Linked DNA regions of Tribolium castaneum. The protein of the gene in region 1 interacts with the protein of each later gene in a biochemical or structural test. Links are inferred from orthologs where the notes say so. Each region holds a gene or a part of one and is shown in the gene's direction. Other genes may lie near its edges.

Region 1 (3,529 bases):
AAATACTGCGTTTATTGACGAAATTCCAAAATTAAAGCAAGAATTTAAAGCGCAAATCAGTGATCGCATTTTTATTTTGACGTTATTTTTAGTTTTTGAATTATTTCGAAAAATCAAAAATTGGTAACTTTTGTTTTTATTTTTTAAAGCGAAAGCCAAAAGAACTAGACGAAGTAGGACATTCTTGGGGCACTTTTTTACAACAAATCTAAATCTGTGATCATCCAAGACGTTCTCTTGATAACACTCAACTTTGATTCGTGAAAAAATTGTTAAAAAAGTTTTGTTAAAAATTTGTTTCAATAAAAATTTATATGATTATGTTACGACTAATGTGTAAACTAGCTGTTAAGTTTGTAAACTAGCCAAAGCATTAGCTATTTTAACATAAAACGCACTTTCAAATAAAATAGCGGCTAGTTTACAAACTAGCTAATAACCTTGGCTAATTTACTTGACAGATAAAATGGTTTATAAATTTTACAAGACTTTCTCTGGTTACTATTAAAACCGTATTTTCTGGTAACACAAGTTATACAATTTTTTAGCTAGTTGACAAACTAACCAACTCACTGGGCTAACTTATGTGAATAAATTGAAGTTATGAAATCTTGTTATATAAACTAATTAAAACAATGGATATTTTATCTTGTTTTTAAACCACCCAACTTACCAACCTTCTGACAACTCGGACTTACAATTAATAAAATGCGAACATAAAATTCCATTTTATCTTTCAAGTAAATTAGCCGAGGACTGTAGGTACTCTACATACTAGCCGCTATTTTAGTTAAAATTGCATTTTCTATTAAAATAGCCAACGGTTTGGCTAGTTTACAAACTAGCCAAGTTTATACATTAGCCGTAACACTGGCCAATGCTTTGGCTAGTTTACAAACTAACCAACTAATTTACAAACTAACCAGTTAGTTTACAAACTAGCCAGTTAGTTTACAAACTAACCAGCTAGTTTATAAGCTAACCAGTTAGTCTACAAACTAACCAGTTAGTTTACAAACTAGCCAAGTTTACACATTAGCCGTAACACTGACCAATGCTTTGGCTAGTTTACAAGCTAGCCAAGTTTATACTTTAGCCGTAATAAATACAAGGTAAGGAAAAACACAACAAGAAACAATAGAAAAAAATAACTTATTATTCAAATTATTATTATTATTATTATTATTCAAATTATTCAAGAGCTGAATATTCACAATAATGCCTCTTCAACTCTTCTATCTTCAAAATTAAAAACTACTACTGTTTAATAATTATTTGGTCAGCAAAATAGACAGACCCTTTTGAAACTAAAGCAACCTATTTTATTTGTCATGCGTCAAAATTCGTCGAAAATCGTAAAATTCTCGTAAACTCCAAAACTCTCTTTTCAAAAGTCGCACACTTCAAATTTCCCGCAACCGGGCGTAGATTTCTTCCCTTCCACCCGAGACTAGCACCCGTCGGCCATAATCCAACCCCGGACGCAAACCAACACCAACATACCATATGTTTTTAGGTGACTCAAATGATCCAATGCGGTCCTATTTGGTAGTAACACCGGCCATCTTTTCCCAGAAAACTGTGTTTGTTTCTTAATTTTAGCTCTAAATTAAGTTTGTAATTAATGTCAGAACCACAGTCAGCCCTTCTACTAAGAAAACAGCTAGCAGGTGAGTCACGAAAACGATTTAAATTCATTCTTTCATCGCCGACAAAGCACAAAGAAATACGATGCCATCGACACCAAACTCGGCCCGAAATCCACAAAACGATCAATTATAACCCCAAAATTTCAACCCGACACGACCCCGGCCACATGCAGCCACCCACCCCCGAAACTTGGGGCCCCCTGTCGGCGAATACACCCCAACCGACGCACCTAACCCCTCAAACACGGGGGGCCCCCACGATTCTAACCCCAACTGTCAAAAAATCTCTGACATTTGCATCCCTCATTTCATGAAAAATTCGTGAAAGTCGCTCGTACGAGCGATGACCTTAAGGTCGTGTTATTTTAATAATGAAGTTTTGGTTTGTTTCCAGAATTGAACAAAAACCCCGTCGAGGGCTTTTCTGCTGGGCTAATCGACGATAATGACATTTATAGATGGGAAGTGCTAATAATCGGCCCTCCGGACACGCTTTAGTAAGTTTTTTAATCGTTAAAAAAATTTGAGGTTAGGAACGCGAATGTGTTGCAGCGAAGGAGGTTTCTTCAAATGCCACCTCTATTTCCCCAAAGAATATCCACTCAGGCCGCCCAAAATGAAATTCGTGACAGAAATATGGCACCCTAACAGTAAGCAACCCCCAGGGGGGCTCACAGAATTAATTGAGTGTCATTTTAGTCGATAAAAATGGCGACGTGTGTATATCAATCCTACACGAGCCAGGGGATGATAAGTTCGGTTATGAAAAAGCGTCAGAAAGGTGGCTGCCAGTTCATACTGTAGAGACTATTTTAATATCCGTTATTTCAATGTTAGCCGACCCAAACGATGAATCACCTGCGAATGTCGATGCTGCGGTAAGAGAAAAAATAGCGTGTGTATCACTTGACTAATTGGGGAATTCCAGAAAGAGTGGCGGGAAATGTACGGCGAATTCAAACGAAAAGTAGCACGATGTGTCCGAAAGTCCCAAGAGGAATGTTAGTACATTAAACCAATTTCACAAAACGGTTTGATTCTTAATTGAAAAATTCGCATTTTTTATATTACCTGGAATCGAGTCCGTTGCTTTTTTCTTAATTTTTTTTCACGATCTCAAAGAGAGTCGGATTTTTCTTTTCAATAAAATAATATCATTCAAATTTCTGTGGGTCTAATTCAAGTTTTCAGCGTGAATGTGGTATTGTAAAACGAAAAGCGATCGTCAAGATTCAAATGTTGTCTTAATTGTAATACTTAAGACATTTGTCGAAAACACTACTTGTAACTGCTATTAGTTTATGTAAATTTCAACTGTAACACTGTAGGAATCATAAGTTAAGTAAATTTTATTAATAAATCTATCGTTATTAATAATTGGACATTTACCTAAAATCCCGAGTTGGCAAGAATGCGTCCCGTCAAACAGCCTTCAAATAGTGCAGCGCCCGAAACGGTGAGTTTTTCACACCATTTACTTGCAAAATTAATTTTTAATTGACTTGATTCGACTCCACGTCCTCTCTACCTTAGGCCAAAGTTGCTTCATTTACAGAATTTTCACAAATCTCAGCAATACAAAAAATCCTGTAAATGAAATCGACTTTATTTCATATTGCTAGTGAGAGGATTCTGAAAAAATCGCACTTAAAGTTCAGAATTATTCCATTGCATTAAACCTGTTGTAAATTGGTCTTTAAATAAACTACACACAAATGAATAGTACAATTTTACATATTCATACATTATATTTTTTCTTATTGCTTGCAAAATACATTCATTTGTACTGCTTTGATGTAATTTATTTTAGTTTTAACTAAAGTTAAACAAATAACAATATCTCTAATCATTTGTGCGTATTAACTGTTTCAAAACTATAA
Region 2 (4,320 bases), on another chromosome or scaffold:
AGAATTAAACACTTGGAATATTCAAATTGTTACTATTAAAACAAGGTACAAATATACATTATTTTACTAGAAAATTGTGTTTATTTATCCTAAAATGGTGATTGGTGAAGGTTTCACAAAAATGAGGTAAGTATATCTTACACTGATATTATAGCTTCAGAAAATGTGAATTCTTCTCTTGACACAATTTTAATTGATCATTTTGAATGCAAACGAAATTTGTTATCGACTGACAAAGTAATAGCCATTGTGTTGAAAAAATTGATTAGATTAAACGCATAAATCACTTTATTCATCTAGTCTATTTCATGATTATCCTAAATCTTATCAAACAGTGGGAACTAATTTAATTTTAAAGTGGTGTTGATCGCTGGAAATTATTCCACTCGTGTGAATTTGGTAAGAATTAATTATTGTTGCCCTAATTAGGTACATTAGAAAAACAAATTCTAACAAGTAGTGCAAACAGTAAATTATGTTACCTTGTCACATCGATATAGAGCAAAATGATCATTTTCGTGGTGTTGTCCTTTCTTACAGGAATTTTCGTATGGTTTGTGGGAAAATTATTTTCGAGTAAATCGCTGTAAGTACTTTGTATATTTATTTAGATAAATTTAAGATGTTAAAGTTTACAACTCACACAAAAAAACATTCTAAAAATGAGCCATTGGTTAATTTTCTATTGTAATGCTATTGACAAATTTCGGGCCCACAAAACCATCACAAAAATAAACAATATTTTTGACTTACGTCATACTTGATACCTCAAAAAGGAGAGTGATCTTAAAAATATCTAATTATTGTCATTCAAAACGTGTTCAGGCATAAAATAATGCAAATGTTGCTCATATTTAATCAAAAACCTAGCAGATTAGTCACAAATGTTTATCACTTATCGCAGTTTTCCAGAACGTAGGTATGATTTATAAGTAATTATTAATTGTTATTAGCGAGTGCGGTGACATTATTTAACGATGCAAAATACAAAAAAAAAAAAACGTAAAGAAAGTATTGACCTTCCAAGCTACTGAAATACAAAGTTGAATGATTAAGTGTACAAAAATCGCCCTCCAATTTTGTAAAAACTGCTGCGTGACGGTAATACTTGGAATAATTTTTAATTTTCACTCTTTTTGTACCGTAAAATGCTGCTATTAAGAGTGAAATTTGTTATTGGAATAATTTAAAAAAATATCATTTTCAAACATTTTGACAATGACAATTCGTCAATGCTACAAATCGAAATGCAGGTAATACAAAACTCCCTACATTTTCAATTTTATCGTTTTTTTATGGACACAATGAAGGCAAAATAAAAAACGCATATTTCAGGTGTTTTATAAGACTTATTATCGCAACCATTGGGGCACTCCTCATCGGCACTAATTTTAAATGTGTTAAACACCGCCAGTAATGAGTACAATGGCACCAACAAAACAAATTTAAAAATTGTCAATCATGGCCTACGACGATACGGCCCCAATTTTCCTCCACAACCTTTCAAAATTAACGTAACTGTCAAAACAGATGTTAAAATGTTAAACAGTGTGCAGTCACTTGGGTCGTTTCGGTGCCCCCATTGCTCTGCTTAACAATCAGTGTGAATCTTTCGCGACAATTTCCAATTTAGCGCGTAAGTTTGCAGAATTGTGGGAGTGCGTGAATCACGCATTCCGGCATGCGCATTCGGCCCGTGGTCTCTTTGTTCGTTCGTTGTGCGCCTTCAGCCAGCGTTGTGTCTAAATCCAAGTGAAAAAACCGGCCAATTGACATTGCTATATGGTTATCAGCGCGCAAATTCCTCGATTGACCCGCAACTAATCAAACTGTGTCCTTTCGTGTCCGATGTCTAGTGCTGAAATCGCCGAAGGCTCCGTCGATCCCCCAACTAAGAAGCGGAAGCTTGACTCGTGCCCGATTTCAACCGACATGGCGAACAACGGCGCTTCCGGATCGTCTCAGCAGGACATCGACGAGGGTCTGTACTCGCGCCAGCTCTACGTCCTGGGGCACGACGCCATGCGGCGCATGGCCTCCAGCGACGTGCTGGTCTCAGGCCTGGGCGGGCTCGGCGTCGAGGTGGCCAAGAACGTCATCCTCGGCGGGGTCAAGTCCGTCACGTTGCATGACGAAGCCGTTTGCAGCGTCGCCGACCTCTCGTCGCAGTTCTACTTCACCGAAGCCGACGTGGGCAAGAACAGGGCCGAGGTCTGCTGCAAGCAGCTGGCGGAGCTCAACACCTACGTCCCCACGAAGGCCTACACGGGCCCCCTGACGCCGGACTTCATCCGCAAGTTCCGAGTCGTTGTCCTGACCAATAGTTGTCTCGCTGAGCAGATGCAAATCAGCGAAATCACACATGCCAGTAACATTGCGCTCATTGTGGCCGATACGAGGGGGCTCTTTGCCCAAGTGTTCTGTGATTTCGGGGATGCTTTCACGGTCGTTGACACCAACGGGGAGTCGCCGGTCTCGGCGATGATCGCTGATATTTCCACCGATAAAGAAGGTGGGTACAAAGAACCTAATGGAAGGCATTGTTACACAATGACTAATCTTGACGTTGTACGTCGGGTTATATTGGCAATTATTGTGCAATCAACCTGATCATGTGGCTAAAATTAATCCGATGTTAGAAGTTTGCCTTTGTTTTCCTTGCGATGTGCGAAGGTATGGAGTGAAAATCCCCAAAGGGCACTATATCAGTACTCAAATACCGTATGGTCAAATAAATCTGTCATCCTAATAAATTAAACATAATTCGAGACTATTCATAAAACCTAAAGCCATTTATTGGCTTACCAAAGTAGCAGTCGAATGGCATTAAACTTTGTGTAAATGTTGAGAAAATGTTGTAAAAAACATGTGATTTTATTAAAAATAGATGCTGTACTATCCCTTTTTTCCTCCTGTAAACTACCACTTGTGTGGAGGGTAGGAGGTTGATATTTTGAAGGTGAGCTGTATATTTATTAAAAAAATCTTTAGGTTTGTTAGTTAAATACCGGGTCAAGAAATAACCCACTATTGACTCACCCTGTACTTCAAACAATATCTTACCTAATAGAACAACTTGGTAAGATCAGCTAAAGAAGCACTGCAATCACAAAACTTCTATAATTTTATCTTGATGCAACTTAAATGATCTCCAAGCATTCAGTATTCAACTATTTTATTAAATAAAATAGCTTAAAATAGAGATTTTTTATTTTATTTTTAAACGAAACTTTTTTAAATTCATATTCGATACAGTTCTGAGTAATAATGACACCATTTCATACTAAGATTTATTTAAATGTAAGTCGTCTGAAAACTAGATCAAATATTTTTGATTGCAACTAAGAAAATTTCAGAAATTGATATTGTTGTTAAAGCATAAATTACATTATTGAAGCCACATTTTTTATGGAAACCAAAAGAAAACTCTGTATTTTTTTATTCGAAAATTGGTTTAAACACTTTTCCTTTTCCCATTCTCAGTACAGTAAAGCTTTGTCAAATTTTAGTATCGTAATCTAAAAAGTCTTATTTTGTCAATTTTTTTATGCTGTTGAAAAATTATTATGTCTGTTTTTAATGACCCAAATGTATCAGGACAAATCCAATTTAAATGTTCAATCTTATTTTTATCGATAAAGTGGGTAACACAATGTTAACATGAAAAAAATTAAAAATCTGGGTCTGGGTTAACTGAATTACACATGACACTCGATTTTTTTTTGTAAAATTTGCCTTTTGAGTCAATTGACAGGCAATTACAGGGTAATTCCATTTTTTACGAGATATAGCTCTCCAAATGTTAGATTTTTCGATTAAGTTTTTGGCAGATCATTTTTTCTTGAATTTAGTTAGCAGGAATGACACTAATTGATGATTTACGTTCAAAACAATTAATCAAAGTAGCAAATTTGACAATAAATTCGCCAATATTGGGAACAGAGGCGCAACATTTAAAAGAGTGTCTCAGGAAAAATATTAAAAATTAAAAGTTAAATTATCAGAAAAAAAATCTAAATTAATTTTTAATGTTAGCGGAACGTCTTTGTGGGCTTTTATCATCAAAAATCAACTATTTGGCTATTATTAATTATTATTATCTATTAGGTATAATTTCTTTTCTCTCGATATGTGATATGTTATTCACATTTGGATTATTAATGATCAAGAAAATTAATAGAGTAGTGAAGCAGCTTACTCGTAATACAGTTTTTATTTGATTATATTGGTTTCTGTTTTATTTCATTGCAAAAGCAGCTATTTAATGATCATTGTTGTAACGTCTATAAACAATGGGTTAATGAATTCGTACTATTTTTA
Region 3 (3,021 bases), on another chromosome or scaffold:
ATATCCATCCCTATCGGTGCAATTAATGTTAGCACCTTTTTTTATCAAAAGCTTGACAATTTCGGACTGTTTTTTCTTAACAGCGTGCGTAAGAGGAAATTCTCCGTTTTCACCGCAAAGATTAACATCAGCGCCTTTTTCAAGCATGAATTTTGTCATTTTAAAGTTACAGTTGTCTATAGCTTCAAACAGGCCTGAATGGAGGGTGAACCGAGCGTGACTTTTTAATAAGAGTTCAATCATTTCCGTGTTTTCGTTGTATACAGCGTGAGCTAAGGGAGTGTAGCCGTTTCTGTCCGCTTGACAAGTGTTTGCTCCATTTTCTACCAAGTATTTGGCGTGTTTTAAGTTTCCTTTGGTGATACATTTAATCAAAGGTGTGTCGCCATGACAGCAAAGGGCGTTAAGATCAGCACCATTGGACAACAGAAGTTTGATGATTTCCAAATTTCCATGAACAACAGCGTGCGTTAATACTGTTTCGCCTTTGCGTTTACTTCTTATGTTTAAATCTTCAAGGAAATATTTCACTGATTCTGTGTCTTGAGCAGATATTGCCTCAAACATCGTGTACGGGGACTGTAACAAGAAATGCTCCTTAAAAGGCAACTGCCTCTAATAATAAAAATCTTAATGCAAGTTTGCAGTAATTTGCTATACTTATTACATTATATAAAAATTTTTGAAAGATCAAGACAAATGATTGTTGTTTACTTGCTTGGTTGCTTAATTGAAGAGAGTTAAAACGAAATAAAATACAGATTTGACAACTTTTGTGATACAAGCTTATAGCATTCCAATTGTTTTAAGGTTTTATAGAGGGTTTTTTGTACAGAAGTTAACCGCCTCACAATGGGTTTATTACCAGACCCGTGCCACCAACTCAAAATTTGCATTTATTATTAAGGTTTTCTCTGTTTTCAAACAGTTCCAGTGCCCCTCATTATTAGAGTCTAATTATTTTACTGGGGGCCATATAACCCTTATTCGACTAGGAATACAATACTTAATTTGTTACTTACACCATCAGAATTTTCCGCTTTTTTATTCATTCTTGCAAATCTGTTTTTAACAGTTTTCTTACAAGTAACTACACGTTATAGCCACACGGCATACACTTAAGTAAAAAATCAAGTAGAAACACCTGTGACGCAAAAAATATCAAAATCATAGCCTTCTTGATGCATGGAGACAAAATTATTAATCTTGACAGAAGTGTTTTACTGGTTGCATAGCCAATATAGAAATATTGAAGATTGTGCTTTTTCAGTGAAGATACGAGCAGTTTGGGGAGCAGATTTTCGAAGTCTTCGTCGGAGCGCGAAAAGATTCTCCACAGACGCAAAGAGAATTTGATTCAGAGCGCCAGAAAACGCTACATCGAGAAACAAAAAGCCGCCGCTGCTGCAAAAGTGGAGCTACAAAGTTGAAGTATTTATGAAGATATTTTTTAGGGGAGAAGTCGTCTGACAAAGTTGTCCCAGATGTAACAAATTGTTAAAGTGTACATTGAAAATATCTGCAGTTAAAACACTGCGCTATATTTAGATATTAATAATAAATGTCTAGATAACATTATGTAAAAATTTGAATTATCTTGCAGAATTGTATTTGTTTTATTTTCGAACGCAAGGCTCAAGGGATGTGGATCTAAACTAAAAATGATAAAACGGGAACGTGTTTTAAATACCGATTTATTAAAGACAAATCATTTCGTAATGGCAGTTTAGGAATATCTAAGTTGTTATGGCGTTTGTAAGTTTGTATGAAATTCATGTTATAAATTATTAAGTAGGTTTAAGATATTTATTAGTCTGAAATTGAATTGACGTCGATTAGTCATTTTCCGAGTGATAAATTTGCAATTTGTTGTTTTATTTGAGAATGTTTATGTTCTTTATTTTTAGATGAAGTAAATAACTGTCTTTTTAAACGAACTAATGTTCCTTAATCAAAGTTTAATAAAACTTAGTCACCACTTAGCGGTGTTACATCGTTAGAGCTAGTCTCACCAATCGGATCTGGTGAACCTCGCCCTGGATGAAATATTTTTAAAGGCTTTGGTCAGATTGCACTTGAATTTTAATTAAGTTTGTAGTGTACATTGTGATAAAAGACTGACTCTTGGTATTTCCGTGTGATACTTTCACGTTTTTGTGTTAGGTTTTAGATTCGTGCTTTATTTTGCTATGTTTTAATGTTTGTTTTGTTTACTTACACGCGATTTTATTACAGTGTTAAAACGTCCGGCCTGAATTTTTGTGTATAATTAAAATGCTCAGACCCGAGGGAATCCTCGTAGGTCGAACATGTATTTCATATTGTTATGCAGTGCAAAGTGCATGTTCTCTTTATTAAACATAGAACTGTCTAGTTATATTTCGATATAGGAAATACGTAATTGCCATGCAAACATATTGTGTGCCAGATATCTAAGGGCCAAAGTATATCAGTTACTTATTTCGTCGTACTTACGTGTCCTGTCAATCTCCTAATCTTTGTTATTGTGCTTAGTATTGCTGTAATAAATTATTAAAAAAACGCATTTTATCTGCACCTCTCCAATTTTTCCCGCAAAATACGCAAGGGTTCGTAAATAATGTAATTCAAATGAGTTGTTTATTCCTACAATTATTTCAATATAAAAATGGTTTACATCACGAAAAAATCCAATGGTAATGAAAAATAGTCACCTCAGTTTCAGTACGTTTATTGAAAGTGAGATGGCTATGTTTACACCGAATTATAATCTCCAAATAAACATAATAAAAAAATTGGTTATGACTAGAGAATGGACGTTTCAAAATTAATAAAAAAATTTAGCATCGGTCATTTTTAATTGCTGGATTTAAATCACTGAAATAAGCGTGCGCCATAGCGTCGTCTGCGGACATCCTTCCCATGGGGTTACAAACTAGTAGTCTCTGCAGAAGATCTCTACCTCTGTTCCCTAATTTAGGCACAACCTAAAATTTAATGTGATATTAATTTTAAAAGTGCAAGAACCAAAAATCAGACCTG

What was found.
Region 2: of the proteins of ubiquitin-conjugating enzyme E2 G1 (region 1) and Uba1, one has a biochemical effect on the other in vitro, tested with the Homo sapiens proteins (3 studies listed by BioGRID, with this or other methods). The link is inferred for Tribolium castaneum from reciprocal best matches to the Homo sapiens genes UBE2G1 and UBA1.
Region 3: the proteins of ubiquitin-conjugating enzyme E2 G1 (region 1) and E3 ubiquitin-protein ligase AMFR form a complex in vitro, tested with the Homo sapiens proteins (7 studies listed by BioGRID, with this or other methods). The link is inferred for Tribolium castaneum from reciprocal best matches to the Homo sapiens genes UBE2G1 and AMFR.

What each region holds. Positions count from the first base shown.
Region 1 is NC_087401.1:11,951,378-11,954,906, forward strand, and holds ubiquitin-conjugating enzyme E2 G1, read left to right. Parts: upstream 1-1,323; 5' UTR 1,324-1,506; coding exon of another isoform or gene 1,507-1,516; 5' UTR 1,517-1,548; intron 1,549-1,602; 5' UTR 1,603-1,624; coding exon 1,625-1,670; intron 1,671-2,043; coding exon 2,044-2,146; intron 2,147-2,201; coding exon 2,202-2,299; intron 2,300-2,348; coding exon 2,349-2,527; intron 2,528-2,577; coding exon 2,578-2,655; 3' UTR 2,656-3,011; downstream 3,012-3,529. UniProt on the Homo sapiens protein: Accepts ubiquitin from the E1 complex and catalyzes its covalent attachment to other proteins. In vitro catalyzes 'Lys-48'-, as well as 'Lys-63'-linked polyubiquitination. May be involved in degradation of muscle-specific proteins.
Region 2 is NC_087394.1:32,757,022-32,761,341, forward strand, and holds the start of Uba1 (ubiquitin-like modifier-activating enzyme 1), read left to right. Parts: upstream 1-1,496; 5' UTR 1,497-1,848; coding exon 1,849-2,512; intron 2,513-4,320. UniProt on the Homo sapiens protein: Catalyzes the first step in ubiquitin conjugation to mark cellular proteins for degradation through the ubiquitin-proteasome system.
Region 3 is NC_087396.1:17,624,880-17,627,900, forward strand, and holds the end of E3 ubiquitin-protein ligase AMFR, read left to right. Parts: intron 1-1,270; coding exon 1,271-1,430; 3' UTR 1,431-2,407; downstream 2,408-3,021. Other genes in the region: Cdk5 (cyclin-dependent-like kinase 5), read right to left, coding at 2,820-2,966, 3,019-3,021. UniProt on the Homo sapiens protein: E3 ubiquitin-protein ligase that mediates the polyubiquitination of lysine and cysteine residues on target proteins, such as CD3D, CYP3A4, CFTR, INSIG1, SOAT2/ACAT2 and APOB for proteasomal degradation.